4 linked regions of the Saccharomyces cerevisiae S288C genome follow. The protein of the gene in region 1 binds, or shares a complex with, the protein of each later gene. Each region holds a gene or a part of one and is shown in the gene's direction. Other genes may lie near its edges. The genes, in order: ARC40, ARC19, ARP3 and ARC18.

Region 1 (4,252 bases):
TATCAAAGTTAGTAGTGATAGCCGCAGGCTGGTCACCCTTTGCCTCAACTTTTCCGCACATTTGGATGGGATAAAGATCTATAGTTTTTTTTGGAAAGCAGCTGTCCCTTTTGTTCGGTATCTCTAAATTTTTGAATCCATGCGCTATGGCAATATTGGATTGCATCAGTGATAGATCTTCTACAATTTGAACCCATTGTTGTACATTAACTTTGGTTTCATTTTTACACTCATCCGTAGGCAATGGAACATTGATTTTGACATCAGAGCATGTACTACGTGGCACTGTAGCTTTTATTTCCACCTGTTTCTGAAGGTTATTTTGGCTGCGACTTTGTGGGATGTGCTTTCTATAACTTTCGAGGTCAAAAAAACCGACAACAGTAATGTTTGGTTTCATACCTCCAAGCCCGGAACCAATAAAAACATTCCTAATTCCCCATATAAGGGAGGGACCAGTCCCAACTTGGACAAAAGCCTTTATTGCTGCCATGTCTCTGATCTTCATCCAAGCTTTCTGCTGAGTTTTTAATTCATTTAGTTGCTTCGGAAAATCCGCAGTTACTGCAACATGGCCTAAAATATACAAACCACCTTTTTTCAAATGATTGCAAAACCTTATTAAGTTCCAGCTCGTCCTTGGATTATCTACAAACAGCAATATTTGAGGCCTCCAGTATTTAATATTGTCTTGACGTAGGCGAAGCAAATACTTTCTCACTTGATGATATATTAAACTTTGAGACACATCACCCCAAGACTTCGGTGGTGAAAAATAATGAATGAATAAAAATAGCAAAATCATAGCCAAAAACAAGACAGACGCTGAGATGCCATCAACTATTAACATCGCAACAACAGAAAGTAATGCGCCAATTGCTGTAGTATACCTGTTAAAGTATTTGAAAGAGGGCCTGAAATTGGGAGCAGAGGAAATACCTAATAGGAAGCACGCCAAATTCATGACCACAAACGTCATTAAGAATGTCATTGTGATAAATGTGGCGATTTTATTGACGTCTGAAAACAAACATAGCTGTGTTAGAATCCAAGTAAAAATCAATGAATATAACGGTGAATGAGCAAAAATCTCCAAACCAGGAATAATGTTATCCTTTGCAATTGCTTCTAATACATAAGCAGCACCGAGCATCCCCACTATGATGGAGAAAAGAGAAGTAGCCATTTCACCCATGAATATAACCCACTGAACGGAACTGATCGTCTGTATAATTTGTACTTCATCATATAACGATCTTCTGGGAATGGAACAACCCATGGAGAAGACAACAACGGCATAACAGATAAAAGTGAAAAGTAAACCCCATAAGGTACCCTTAGGAATTGATTTAGAGGGCTTTCTCAATTCACTTGACATTCCTGCGCCCGCGAATATACCAGCTGTAGCAGGAAAAAAAACGCCAAATAAATCATTGAATGTTTCCTTACCTTTGAGTAACGAACCTGCTGCACCTTTTGTTAAGTGAGGGAGCAGGTTATCATGAAAAGTTTGCCATGAAGGACCTGTATAACTGATACCGCCTTCAGTGAATGGCGATCTTATCAATGCAGAAAGTGGAATGGAAAATATAGAAGCTGCCAGTACCAAAAAAAGAATATTCCCTGCTCTTGACACTGTTTGCGAGCCAACAAAAGCCACAGAAAAACATAAGAAAAGAATGACCGTGGCATATGTAAATTCGTGCCAATGCCCTCTTGGTAGTAGCTCTCCCAAAGCTGCAGGTGGCTCGCCTTGAGCAGAATAACCCAAGTTATAGAGTAAAGGTTCGATAATACCCACTGCGTTCATACCTGCATTGAACACCTGCCCTAAGAAAAAGACAAGCCCAATGGATCCACCAAATTCAGGTCCTAAACTTCTTGAAATCATATAATAAGCACCCCCGCCCCTAACAGTCCCGTTTGTAGATATAGCAGATATACTTAACGTGGTGAGAAGATTAATAGTGTAACTCAATAGCAGAAGACCGATGGTGCATATAATACCTAACTGACCCAAAATGAAGCCAAAACGAAGAAACATAAGGATAGACAATACGTTTAAAGCAGTAGGCACAAATACCCCATCGTATGTTCCCAACTTATCTTTGTTTGGGTTATCAGGATCATACTTAGAGGAAACTTTTTGGCATTCAGGGGTCGCCTGATAATTGAAATATGTTTGACTTATTCTCCTTGCAGACAACAGTGAAGAAGATTCATTTGAAGAAGATATTGCCGACGATGGCCGATGCGTACCTGGAATCTGATAAAACCTACTAACCATTAATCCTACAAGAAAGGCCTATTCTTAAAGAGAATTGGCTGGCAAAAACACTGTCTCTATCACTTCTTCGACAACAAGCACAACCATTTCTTAGATTTCCTTGTTACTCTTTAACAACAATGTTGATAATGAATCCTACGTTATCAGTTGCACAATTATCAAAATCTTCTTGTCACCCGCCCGCGCCTTGCCTATAATGAAAAAGGGTCAAATAAGAGCAATCTTGATCGAGAAAGCTTCCAGATTAGAAACAAAGAAAAATAGGAAAAATAAGCCGAAGTAAACGTATATTAGTTGAGAGTCTCCTAATGTCATTTTCCAATTCTAAAGACAAGTCCGTTGTTGCCGTCTACAAGCTGGTCAAAGCGCCAATCTACTCTCATTGCTTTTCTCAAGATAAATCTATTTTAGCCGTTACATGCGAAACAGATTGTCTTGTCTATAGAGTTTCAAACAACACACCTCCCGTTTTATTCGCAACGTTGAAAGATCATGATAAAACCATTACTGCTGTGGACATTTCCATACATGGTCGTATTGTGACTTGCTCCCAAGACCGTAATGCTTACGTTTGGGAGCCATTGAGTGATGGGACATACAAGCCCACGTTAGTACTTCTTCGTATTAACAGAGCAGCTACTTCAGTTACATGGGCACCAAATGGTTATAAGTTTGCTGTTGGGTCCAGTGCTAGAATCATCGCTGTTTGTTATTACGAACACGAGAATAATTGGTGGGTATCCAAGCACATCAAGAAACCCATCAAATCTACCATCAATTGCCTGTCTTGGCATGCAAATGGAGTCCTATTAGCTGCTGGTGGTACTGATGGGTTTATGCGTGTGTTCAGCGGGTTTATCAAGGGTTTGGATTCCAAGGAATCCGTCGCCGGATCACCCTGGGGCCAGAAATTCCCTTTTGGTTGTTTAATCAGGGAGTGGTATCAGGGTTCTTATATCCATGATGTGGAATGGAGAAGTCAGATGGAAAGAATTGCTTATGTAGCGCATGATGGTACTTTGAATGTTGTCGATTACCAATCTCCAGTGCAATCTGTCAATGCTCCGGAAGGTTTACCTTACAGGTCCTTAGTATGGATAAACGACCACGAGATTGTTTGTGGAGGATACTCTTGTCATCCGGTATTGTTCAGCGAAGCCTCTGAAGGCTGGAAATTTGCGAAGAATCTAGACAAATCAGACAATAACAAGTCTTCTGCCTTAACTGCATCTGGTAATACAGACGAGCTGAGTGGTAATAATGATGAAAGTTCAACTTTCGGTATTTCCGCATTGAGAAAGTTTAAAGAATTAGACTTGAAAGGTAAAGTTAGCACAGATGTCCAAGAAAGTGCACATGAAAACGCCATTGTGGAATTAAGACCTTTTGCGGAATCCAACGGCCAAATCACACAAGTCTCTTCCTGTGGGTTAGACGGTAAGATCGTCATTTATACAATTTAAATATACATACGTATATATATATATTGTTATGTGTATTCCCTACCTCATAATACACCTTGAGTTTGTATTGTTTTTTTCTTCACTTGGCATATACAGACTATATTATTACAACTCACAGCACAATGTAGTGTACCGTAAAAAATAAAGCATCAGAATCAATTTCTTGCACCAAACCATTATTTAGAATTGCTACCCAAAGACTCCTGTTCTTGCTTTCTTTGCAAGATAAGCGAGTACACGCTACCTTTTAGCAGTGTCCCAACTAAACCAATTTTGACCTCTATGTCCCTCATCTCCTGTAGTATCTCATCTGGCGATACAGTTTCTTGCTGTGAATGCTGTTGCCTGTGTTGCGAATAGTTTAGTTCTTTTATAGTTTCATCCAGAGCTTTTAGATCTAAAGAAAGCTGTTTGTATTTGTCCAATACTTCTTGCTGTAAAGGTGAAAGATTGTGTTCCATACTGTGACTACAACGCCGTGTATGTTTCACAGCGACTTTGA
Region 2 (3,365 bases), on another chromosome or scaffold:
GAAATTTTTGCAGAACACTTACAACAATGACTAAGAAATTGTGCGGTGATCGCAAACTTGAAATAACATGTAATCTCTATGTATAATTTATATAATGATTAACAAGATAGAGGTCGACACGTCAGAATCAATAGTCCAATTCCACAGCCGGAGTTAAATGCCTCTTTTTTGACGCGGTCAACGTTAAGTTTGCAGTAGCGCTTTCGGCAGTCGGTGCAGAGCTTTCAGGCTTAAAATCCTCGAAAATTTGTCTTCTTATGTTATCTTCATCGCCTAGTGCCTTGTATTCAAGAGATTCGCCAAGCTCTTTGGAAGCTAAATCCCACGTACTAGGCTTGGGCTTACCGGTTTTTGTATATGTCCTTTGCAAAAGTAACCAAAAATAGTGCTTCTTTTGCTCCAATATCCTACGCTCATTTTGGAGTTTCTGTTGTATCTTTTCGTTTCTTTGCTTTATCAAACCATCAACAATCAAACTGATGTCTTCTTTATCCACCTTGTCAAATTTCCGGTCATTTTCCAGAACTTTTTCTATGTTTTGCTTGGTGATCTCGTCGCTATCGGCATCATTCCATTCAAAATTTTGATCTATCAACGTCTGTTGGGCTATTGATCTTTGTGCAAAGATGTACATCCTTTGTTCATCAACAAAATCTAAAAATAAATCAAGGCAGGACGAGCCATTCCTTCCAAGCATATGTAAAAAGCGCGGATCAGACTTTATATGAGGATAAATATCTGACCATCTAGTATTTGCTTTGATTTTGATTGGCACTTCTCTTAATAAGCTTTTAAAGTTATCTCTAGCAATACGGTCTCTGGTATAATTGCGCAGTCGGAGCTCATTTAGTTTGTTTTGAAGATCGTTTTCAATCGTATTTACTATTTTCAGATACTCGTTTAAAACATCTTCGTGGGTTAAGACTTTGAAGTGCCGGTTCGCCATATATCTCTTACTCTTATCAAAAACATAGTGATTTAAAAGCTGCTGCCAGGTTATGAAAGTTTCAGAGGATGATGTTGTTATAATACCGTTTAAATACTCTCTTAGTTCTTTTAGGGCCTGTGTTTTCAATTTTTTTTTTGATTCTTTCTGAGTGTCGATGAGGGTATCTATATAATCTTGAAAGGTCTGTCTCTTTGTCTTTTCATTGACCACGGAGTGTTTGTATATTGGTTCGTCGGCAATTAGTCTCTTTGCGGTAGGCCAACGGGTGTAATATTTTATATGAGAATTGTTTTGCAACATTTTCTGAAAGGCTTCTTTGAATTTGCTTGTTTCATTGTGTTCCTTAAGAAGTTGATCGGCTGATCTATTGGAAAGATATTTCTCAAACATTTCTTTCTTCCATAAGGGGTCATCATCGACCATCCAATACCTTGGATCTCTGGTCCCCAGTTCTGAAATAATTCTACTGAATGACCAAGTAGAGTCTACTTGATTTTCCTTCAGCATGGTAATAAATTCCTTCTCTGCTTCTTCTTTAGTCCTTCTCCTGACATTAAGCAGTTTAGAGTTATTAGCATATTGGCTTTCCTCCTCGTTTATAGTTCGTCCCGGCTCTTGTTTTTCTCCAGCCGTAAGGGCTATTCTATTTCCATTAACCTGTGCATGGGATACTGTATCATGTTTTTGTTCTGCGATGGGTTCTACTTTCTTCTCGAAGGCCGGAATAGTCCAGCTGGTTTCTCTTGTTGTTGGATTATAATAGTATACTTTGCCGTCTGCCGTCTTGGCCGCCTTCCAGCCATTTTCTCGAAGAAGTAGCTCCTCCTGAGAAATTAGTTCCTTGGGCTTCTCCCACGTAGATTTCTTTGTCAAAGTATTGTAATAATATATCCTTCCACTTGCATCTTTAGCTTCCTTCCAAATAGACATAGTTTCACGTCTCCCACCTCCGGCAATGCTTGTCTAGTGGTCGATCTGGCTTCAGACCTTGTTATCCTGATAGGTAGGCACGCTATTGCGATGTCATCAACTGCCAGATTTCCAAGTACATTATTATTGTCGATAATTTCATATCGTTTACCACGTCGCCCCTTTTGTATAGCAAAATACAATTATAGAACAAAAAAAGCCTGTAAAGCCAAGCAAATAGAGGCTTTCGGAACAACTCGGTGTCACTTTGACAAAAGATAAAAGAGGAAGCAACTGATAGTAGGAAATGTCACAATCATTACGTCCGTATCTAACGGCTGTTCGTTATTCCCTGGAAGCTGCGTTGACTTTGAGCAATTTCTCTTCGCAGGAAGTGGAGAGGCACAACAGACCGGAAGTTGAAGTCCCTAACACTAGCGCCGAATTGTTGCTCCAACCGATGCATATATCTCGTAATGAAAATGAACAAGTATTGATTGAGCCCAGTGTAAACTCGGTGCGTATGAGTTTAATGGTGAAACAGGCAGATGAAATTGAGCAGATTTTAGTTCACAAGTTTACTAGATTTTTGGAACAGCGTGCTGAAGCATTCTACATTCTGAGACGTGTACCAATACCTGGCTACAGTATTTCTTTTCTAATAACTAATAAGCATACTGAATCAATGAAAACTGGGAAATTGGTTGATTTTATTATTGAATTCATGGAGGACGTGGATAAGGAAATCAGTGAAATTAAACTGTTTTTGAATGCCAGAGCAAGATTTGTTGCGGAAGCATATCTTGATGAATTTGTCTATTAGATTCCTAATATAGGAAAGGGAATCTTTCTCCGTCAGGGCCCTATTGACGGAAAACTTTACGATCTGTACTGACTGTGTTAGTTTGCGTACTCAATTGAACTATTTCGAGACTATTTAGTTAGATACAATAACATGTGTATGTGAATTAATTATAAACGTACTTTTAAATTGCAGTTACTTTGTATAATTATGGTGATTTTTTTAGTACTTAAATTATATTCATAAAAAGGGATTAAAATGTTTCTCCCGACACCTAAAATTAAACTTCAATCTGTCAATTCTAACACAAAACGTTTTCATTTTACGTAAACAAATGAAGATTGAAGATTCTAAAGCATTTATTATTACTGCCGCACTAGTATACGACCAAACTAAAATTATATGATAATAGTGCACCAACATATAGTAAACAGCTTTTACCTATGCACGACTTGCATGAGGATTTCAATATTATATCACTGTAGACGAAATATGAAAAATTTCAGCAATAAAGCTCATCGCAAAGAATAGTTCGGTTATATTCTTGATTGGATATTATTTCTCTAATCTATGCGGTACTACTTCATCTAACAGAACTAGAGGAGCACTTACATAATGAGTAATCATAGCGAAGCCTATGGATCTCGCGACCAGAGAAGGGAGAAGTACACCCAAGGGAAAGAGTTCGAAGACGGTACATTAGAA
Region 3 (4,518 bases), on another chromosome or scaffold:
TCTTATCGATGGGATGACGTATGCAGGGTTTACGGAAGACAACCTACCGACAAGCTCCATTGCTACTGACTGAATATTGAACGACTCATCGTGCAGTGCAGTAAACAAGAGTCTCAAATTATCTGGTTGTGCCAACTGGGGATCGAAACATGGATTAAGATTCTTTAAAACTTCTAAACGGATATCTTGTAAAGGGTCCGCAATCGTAATGGCTAGAAGCTTTGATAACACTTCAGATACAGTGTTCAGAGAGTGTAGTGATGTTTGTTTGCAGATGTTATCCTTGACGTAAATTTCACAAGATGTCAACGCAGCTAGTTTCCTTACTCTGGGATCTGTATGCTCAATGTAAGAAAGTGCAACAATTCTCACGAATTCCACCAACGAAAATCTGCTTTTGATATTTTTTAACATTCTAAAAGCTTGTATAATGATTTTTATATCATTATTATCATCGTTACTTTCACCAGTTTTCTGTAGGATGTTTTTATTTCTCCATTCTCTTGCTCTTTCTCTCGAAAACGATGGTATCTCCATTGGTGACCCTGGCTGGATAAATGGTGTTCCAGATAAGGTTGAACAGACTAGGTTAAGCAACTCGTCATTTATTTTGGGGCCTAGTGATGGTATTCTCTCAGTCAGAATTTGAAACGTTTCCTGCATATAGTCGGAAAGAGGGCATTTGAACATCAGGTCCAGTATATTTCTGTTTAATAATTTACCTAGAACGGGGCCCAAGGGAACTGCCAATCTTCCGATGCAGTAGAAAATTTCATTTTCAAATTTCTTTCTGAATTTGAATTTCGTCTGTAAATCATGTTCAATATAATCAAGAATTTGTTTCACATAAGGTGCGATATCGGGCCCGACTTCATATGCAATATCACCAATCGATATTAAAATCTGTGGTTTGTCATCTTTGAGATGTGGTATTTTATTTGCTGGAGCATTGGTTAAAATCTCTAAATAGTTGTCCATAATTTGGTGCAAATATTTGCCAGCAAATAATTGAGGATTGAACGATGCTAATAGGGGAACAATCTGGTAAATCTTTTCTCTAATCATTTTCGCTTTATGATTTTCATAAGCTATGCAATTTAGACACATTTGGTCGAACACTTGATTCAAAAAGGGATCCTTCAAAAACAAGATTTCCTTATAAACCAACAAACTTGCATGGATGCATTCTAATGTGTTTACTTGAAATCCGTATTCACAACTTGTAGCCAATCTCTGCACCCACTGGCTAGTTAACTGAGGATCCCTATTTCGTAGGGTGGAAAGACATTTGGCCAATGTAATGGACGCATCAATTCTGATCACCAAATGTGGGTCTCTTAGTGCTCTCCAAATGTTATCTAGTATGGAATTCAAGTATTGGTAGAGTAAATAAGGACAATTCTCTGCCAACGCTGTTATAATCAGAAGCGCAGCATGTTTAGCATGGTCTGGCTTCGAACTCGAGAATGAATTCTTTTCCGTGGAGGCAGTAAGCCATTCTAAGCAAGACTTTATCTCAAATTCCACGAAATCAGAGGTATATGTACCTCCTGGAACGGCTAACTTGCCCAGAGTCTTTGCAGCGAGTCTCATGACCTCTACATCATTAGAAGGTATTAGCCCTCGAAGGTAACCAGCCAGTCGTGAAGTTTCGTTAGGCAACCTTTCAGTATATGCGTAGAATGAAATCAAAGTGTCTATGGATAGAACAGCCCCTACCCTAGTGCTCGTTTTTTTTGTATGGACCAGCTCCAAAATCTTATTGTTTATGTCATTTGAAACTGCTTGGAACTCTTCTATCGACAATTCATGTTCCAAGGATACTAGTAGATCAAATAATGAAATACTGGCCAATTTTCGTTCCTCCTTGTAATCACTGGTTAATTCGCGGAAAATTTTCTCCAAAATGGGCTTAAAATTTACATCCCCATTACTGCCAATCACCACTCCATCAAACCTACTAGAAGTCAGACCGAATTCATCCCCGTTCCTGCTCGCATTCATTTTCATGTTCATATTCACATTCAGATTCGGTGCCAACGGCACATTTCTATCCATGTCCATATCGTTGTTAGCCGCTTTCAAAAGTTTACTCTTCCAAATCTGCTCCTCATGCGGTTCCATATCAATGCAAACCTGCTAGCCGGTTGATGTATGTTTCACTTTACCAATGACTCTCTCGTGAAGCTACTATGGCTCTTTTTTAACGTAAGCTCAAGAAGACCCTTCGATAAGGACTTTCAGTAGTCACCCGGCTGTCCGCGGCTTCAAAATGGCGAGAACCCCTTTTCAAAAGTTTCAAACAAAAATATATGAGAGTAGTTTAATCAAGAATTGGCCCTACCGTAAGGCCTCACGATTGAGCAAGAAATTAGGATTCAATGTCATACTTAAACAATCCCGCTGTTGTCATGGACAATGGTACCGGGCTGACCAAGCTCGGTTTCGCCGGTAATGATTCTCCCTCCTGGGTCTTCCCTACTGCAATAGCCACAGCTGCACCTTCAAATACAAAGAAGTCCTCGGGCGTTGGTGCGCCCTCAGCAGTTAGTAATGAAGCATCATACTTTGGAAATTCCACCTCTGCAACCAATTTCAATGGTGCAACAGGTGGTTTGCTGTCTAATAATTTATCCGGTAAAAGAGGTACAGAAGATTTGGATTTCTATATTGGAAATGAGGCTTTAGTAGCATCCCAAGGACCCTCTTACTCTTTGAGCTATCCAATCAGACACGGTCAAGTGGAAAATTGGGATCACATGGAAAGATTCTGGGAAAATTCCATCTTCAAGTATTTAAGAACAGAGCCTGAAGATCATTTTTTCCTATTGACCGAACCACCACTGAATCCTCCAGAAAACAGAGAGCAAGTGGCGGAGATTTTTTTTGAATCATTTAATTGTGCTGGTCTATATATTGCTGTGCAAGCAGTTTTGGCTCTGGCTGCGTCATGGACCTCTTCAAAAGTCACGGATAGATCATTAACTGGTACTGTTATAGATTCTGGTGATGGTGTCACCCACGTCATCCCAGTGGCGGAAGGTTACGTCATTGGCTCAGCAATTAAAAACATTCCAATAGCCGGTAGAGACATCACATTGTTCATCCAATCCTTGCTAAGAGAACGTGGTGAAGCAGACACTTCCTTGAGAACTGCCGAAAAGATTAAGCAAGAATACTGTTACGTCTGTCCAGATATTGTAAAGGAGTTTAACAAATTCGATAAAGATCCTTCTAAATTTGCCCAATTTGTGGTGGAAAACCAAGAAAAGACAAGGAGAAAAGTCGTAGATATTGGTTACGAAAGATTCTTAGCACCTGAAATCTTCTTCAATCCAGAAATTGCATCCTCAGACTTCTTGACTCCTTTACCCACGGTAGTGGATCAAACTATCCAGGCTTGCCCTATTGACGTCCGTAAAGGTTTATACAACAATATTGTACTATCAGGTGGGTCTACCATGTTCAAAGATTTTGGACGTCGTTTACAAAGAGATCTAAAGTCTATCGTAAATAACAGAATCGCACAAAGTGAGCTGTTAAGTGGAACTAAATCGACTGGTGTAGATGTTTCCGTGATTTCTCATCGGAAGCAGAGAAACGCTGTCTGGTTTGGTGGCTCGCTGCTGGCACAAACAGCCGAATTCAAAGGCTACTGTCACACTAAGAAAGATTATGAGGAATATGGTCCGGAAATTGTTAGAAATTTCAGCCTTTTCAACATGGTTTGATTATTGAGTCATGACTCATCTTATAAGGAAAAAGGTACAAAAACAAATGCAAATAACTGAAACGCCCCTCACTTCATTTAAATATACGTATACAACTGATTATATACACGTATATGTACAATCAAGTAACCCCAAATGCTGATCTGAGAAAAAAAATTGTGGGATATGTGATTAAAACTTATCTTTTATTATTTATTTATACAAAATCAATACTCATCTTTACCACTAATGATGACGTTATCAATCTTTAAAATCATTCTACATAATTGAGTAGCTAAAAGAATTTGCTGCTTTTTGCCAATAAATGGATCAACGACAAATAGTTCCTTCATGTCATTAGACCCGTAACCTAAGCAATCGACACCAATGTTGGAAATCTTTTCTTTCAGTTGTTTACTTTTCAATGTAGACAAAGTTCCGATTGGATCAAGACCAGAATTTTCAGCCAAAGTCATTGGAATGGTGTCTAACGCTTGGGCGAATCCACGGAATGCATACTGATCAATACCACGTTGCTTATCAGCTTCCTCAGAGACAGCCAGGGACATAGTCACTTCGGCTGCTCCCCCACCGTAAACTACACGTGAGTCTTTAACCAAGTTACGTACCACACATAGTGAGTCATGCAATGCACGTTCAGCTTCATCCACGATCATTTTATTGGAACCGCGAACAAAACATGTTACAGTTTTTGTTTCTTTACTTTGCTCGATAATCAGCATACGATCCTTAGTAGTACCAAACTCCTGCTCGTAAATTCTGGAACATGTACCTAATTTATCCTTAG
Region 4 (3,467 bases), on another chromosome or scaffold:
TTCCTTTTTTGGTAAGTTTTCCCAATCCTCTTTAGATACGGAACTTGTCCAAGATGGCTTTTCTTCGTCATCATCATCCAATGCCATTGATATATTACGTTTCAGGCCGCCATTTGGTTTCAGATTTAACCTTGCTTGTTGCTCAAGACGTCTTGGACACGAAATAGAGTAACACAAAGCGTCTCTTGTGCACGTAGGGGAATAGCATTCCGCCAGTAATGTAAACACACCATTGACGTTATGAATGGCTGCAGGGTTCTTTTGCTGGGACAATGAACTACTCATATGTAGCCTCGACCCTGTCAAAGTTGCCTGATCACTATTCAAAGATGAAGTTGAACTTGATGGAACCATTCCGGAATTCGGATAAGAGTGGTTCCCGGAATTAAAAGATGATGAGTTTGGGAGTAGCATCAGTGGATCATGGGCGTTTGTGGAACCTGTTCCTGTAAATCTTGAGTTATCTGTAAATTCGTAAACTTCATGTGGTGAATCTCTTAACCTGTGCTCGTATACCACATCATGGAACAGCTTTTGTGCATCTAGTGATCTACCAAATAACAAGGCTAAGTTTCTATCAGAAGTTCTAATGATAGCACAGATGACATCGACTGCCTGCTGCCCTGTAAATGCGTCACGGTAAACTAATCCATCCTTCTTATGTTCCCCGAGTTGTATCGAACTTTTAAATTTTGTGGCGACTCTTGACAACAAAGCTGGATATACCTGAGGTTTTTTTGATGAAGCGCTCATAACAGGTCTAGATGCCGACAAAGGTGTCATACTACTTCTACGTGGAGAAGATAGAGAAGTTCCTGAAACCGAAGTGTATCTTTTTAAAGCTAATGAGGTGGAAGAAACTCTCGTTTTAAGACCCAACCCAATATTAGACGAGCTTCCCATAACACTTGAGGAGTTTCCAGACCCGTGGACATTATTTAGGCTACTGTGACTGTTTGAAGAGTGATGATGATGATGATGATGATGAGGATCTGAGAATGGGTTGGAAGTTATATCATATTTTTGCGTAGCTTTCCTGCTGTTAGAAGTCTTCGATTGAAAAGATGATGCAATATTTTTTAGAGTAGATGAGTTCAACGACATCGATCTAGATGATATAGAATGTGAATGTTGAGGGTAATTACTGTTACTACTACCCACTTGATAATGTGCGCCATTATTATTAGTATTATTATTATTATGATTGTTAATATTATTATGCTGAATATGCTGGTGATGTTGGTGCTGTTCGTGCAAGTCTTTGGAACTTGGTCTCGAAAAGAAACCAAACCCTTGCAAAGGCGATTTTCTAGCCTGTGTAGGAGTGGTTGATGCACTGCCGGTGGAAAAACTGCTCTGCTTCTTAAGACCAGCAAGTGCTAGTTGCGGGAGCGAAGGTTTCCTCTTAGGCACAAAAGCTGTAGTACTTTTATTCTTCTGGTAAACTTCATTTCTTGGAGACATTGGAGGCAAAGGGTGGTCATTATAGTGCTTGGCTTGTCTACTAGCACTATTACTCGTTGAATATATATGGGACATCGATTTAGCATGAACAATGGGATGGGAAGATGTGGCATCTCTTGCCTTCTTTGGACTGCTCACAGGTGTATTATCAGCACTAGACAAACTTTGTGTATCTGGAACTTCCTTAATATTAGTCTGCTGCGATAAAATGTAATTTGAGCTTTTCCCCTTCATTTCGTTATTTGGTATATCAGAATCATCGATGGCGGCTTCAACTCCAGAACGTCTCCTCTGCTTGGCAATAATGATGTCATTAGCAATGTCTTCAGAAAGCAGAACATTTAGATTCTGGATATTTTCGATTCTATTAGGCAGCAGCTGAGAACTTATGTCTCCGTGCGAGTCACTATCAAAAGTAGCGAAGGAATCTGGCCTCCTTTCTACACCAAATATTTGGGAGTATATGTCATTTCTGTCCCCTAAGCTGTCAACGTTGGTTTCGCTCATAACCGCAGGAAAAGAGATGAATTGTCCAATTAAGTCAGCAGTAATAGAGCACTGTAATCGATTACACTAACAGAGCGAATGAATATATTAATGACCACAAACAACAAATAAAAAAATAGCTATAAAACAGCAAAAAAAAAATCCAGGAAAACCTAATCGGCTCAATACTGTTATTAAATTAGGTCGTCAGTACTCACTGGTCATAATGCCCTTTAAAAACTTTCTTCAAGCCTTAGGACCTCGGACTTCCATACCATTGTTTTCACTATCATTCTCTCTCAGTTTCACAGACTCGGCCGTTACGCGGATCATCCACCACGAACCCCTATCCTTTCCGTTGCGGTTTGGTTTAGTATAACAATGAATAACAATAAATTAAACACTTGGTGCGCAGTAACAAACATCAATAAAGGAAGATTATTGGTATTATCAGTCTCTCCACTCCCAGTATATTAATAAATGCCTGCGTATCACTCGACTTTCCCTGTAGATCCTAACACTGACCGCATGGTAGGGAACTTTGCGCTTCTGCCCTTGAACACTAAGTTCAGGGGTCCTGCATACCCCAGCAATTCCGATTACGATATTATCGACGAGTGCTTGGACCTATTTCGTGCCAATTCCTTCTTCAAGAATTTTGAAATTAAATCACCCGCCGACAGAGTGCTCATCTACGGAATTCTCTTTATCAATGATTGCCTAGCCCATTTGAAAATAACAACGTCATTTAACGAAGCCGTCAAAGTGTTAACCAATGTGGCCTTGGACAACTTTACTTTACCAGGTACACCGGGTTTCCCTCTGAATAATGTTTACCAAGTTCCAGTACAAGATCATAATTCGATGGACTTGTTGAAGACTTATATTCAGCAATTCCGTCAAGAATTGGCAATGAGACTATTAGAAAGAGTCTATAGCTCTACAGATTCTAAGGAATATCCCTCAAAGTTTTGGTTGGCGTTCACAAGAAGAAGATTCATGAACAAATCTCTATAAAGGTATACGGTGCAAGGAAAATAATAAAAACTAGAATTTATGGGAACATAATAATCCACATGCAACTTTATTTGAACCGAAAATTTGAAACGGGAAAGAAATATATAAATGTATAAAGTATAAATACGTCAAAATATGCTTTAATGAACGATATACACGTTAATATACAAGTCTTATTTGTGTTTTGTTCACTTATTTACCTTGATTCTGCTGGTTTTTTGTTGCGCTTTGGAATAATTTTAATGCCCTACCCTGTAGCGCATCCGTAGCTTTTTTTATTCCGTTTACATCAATTGACATGTCATTTTCGTTAGCCTTAAAATTCTTTATAGCTTGTCTCAGAGCTTTGATGTCCTCTACGATATTAGAATACTCTTTTTCGCTAGAAATCAGTTTTTCATATCTTTTAAATAAATTCTCAGTATCACTTATCATAATGTCAGCCTTAGAGATAAGCTCTAACCTTTGCCTGATCAAGTTATCTTGTGCCCTATTTGCAT

The links.
Region 2: ARC40 (region 1) and ARC19 share a complex: the UniProt entries of both Saccharomyces cerevisiae proteins name them as parts of the arp2/3 complex.
Region 3: ARC40 (region 1) and ARP3 share a complex: the UniProt entries of both Saccharomyces cerevisiae proteins name them as parts of the arp2/3 complex.
Region 4: ARC40 (region 1) and ARC18 share a complex: the UniProt entries of both Saccharomyces cerevisiae proteins name them as parts of the arp2/3 complex.

The regions. Positions count from the first base shown.
Region 1 is NC_001134.8:684,936-689,187, reverse strand, and holds ARC40 (Arc40p), read left to right. Parts: upstream 1-2,595; coding exon 2,596-3,750; downstream 3,751-4,252. Other genes in the region: VHC1 (Vhc1p), read right to left, coding at 1-2,287; DAD3 (Dad3p), read right to left, coding at 3,927-4,211. UniProt on the Saccharomyces cerevisiae protein: Functions as a component of the Arp2/3 complex which is involved in regulation of actin polymerization and together with an activating nucleation-promoting factor (NPF) mediates the formation of branched actin networks.
Region 2 is NC_001143.9:416,824-420,188, reverse strand, and holds ARC19 (Arc19p), read left to right. Parts: upstream 1-2,165; coding exon 2,166-2,681; downstream 2,682-3,365. Other genes in the region: CCE1 (cruciform cutting endonuclease), read left to right, coding at 1-34; snoRNA-splicing protein PRP40, read right to left, coding at 128-1,879; URB1 (Urb1p), read left to right, coding at 3,276-3,365. UniProt on the Saccharomyces cerevisiae protein: Functions as actin-binding component of the Arp2/3 complex which is involved in regulation of actin polymerization and together with an activating nucleation-promoting factor (NPF) mediates the formation of branched actin networks.
Region 3 is NC_001142.9:557,022-561,539, reverse strand, and holds ARP3 (actin-related protein 3), read left to right. Parts: upstream 1-2,381; coding exon 2,382-3,731; downstream 3,732-4,518. Other genes in the region: phosphatidylinositol kinase-related protein kinase TOR1, read right to left, coding at 1-2,124; chaperonin-containing T-complex subunit CCT5, read right to left, coding at 3,938-4,518. UniProt on the Saccharomyces cerevisiae protein: Functions as ATP-binding component of the Arp2/3 complex which is involved in regulation of actin polymerization and together with an activating nucleation-promoting factor (NPF) mediates the formation of branched actin networks.
Region 4 is NC_001144.5:861,218-864,684, reverse strand, and holds ARC18 (Arc18p), read left to right. Parts: upstream 1-2,430; coding exon 2,431-2,967; downstream 2,968-3,467. Other genes in the region: Rho family guanine nucleotide exchange factor ROM2, read right to left, coding at 1-1,971; Hsp70 family ATPase SSQ1, read right to left, coding at 3,160-3,467. UniProt on the Saccharomyces cerevisiae protein: Functions as a component of the Arp2/3 complex which is involved in regulation of actin polymerization and together with an activating nucleation-promoting factor (NPF) mediates the formation of branched actin networks.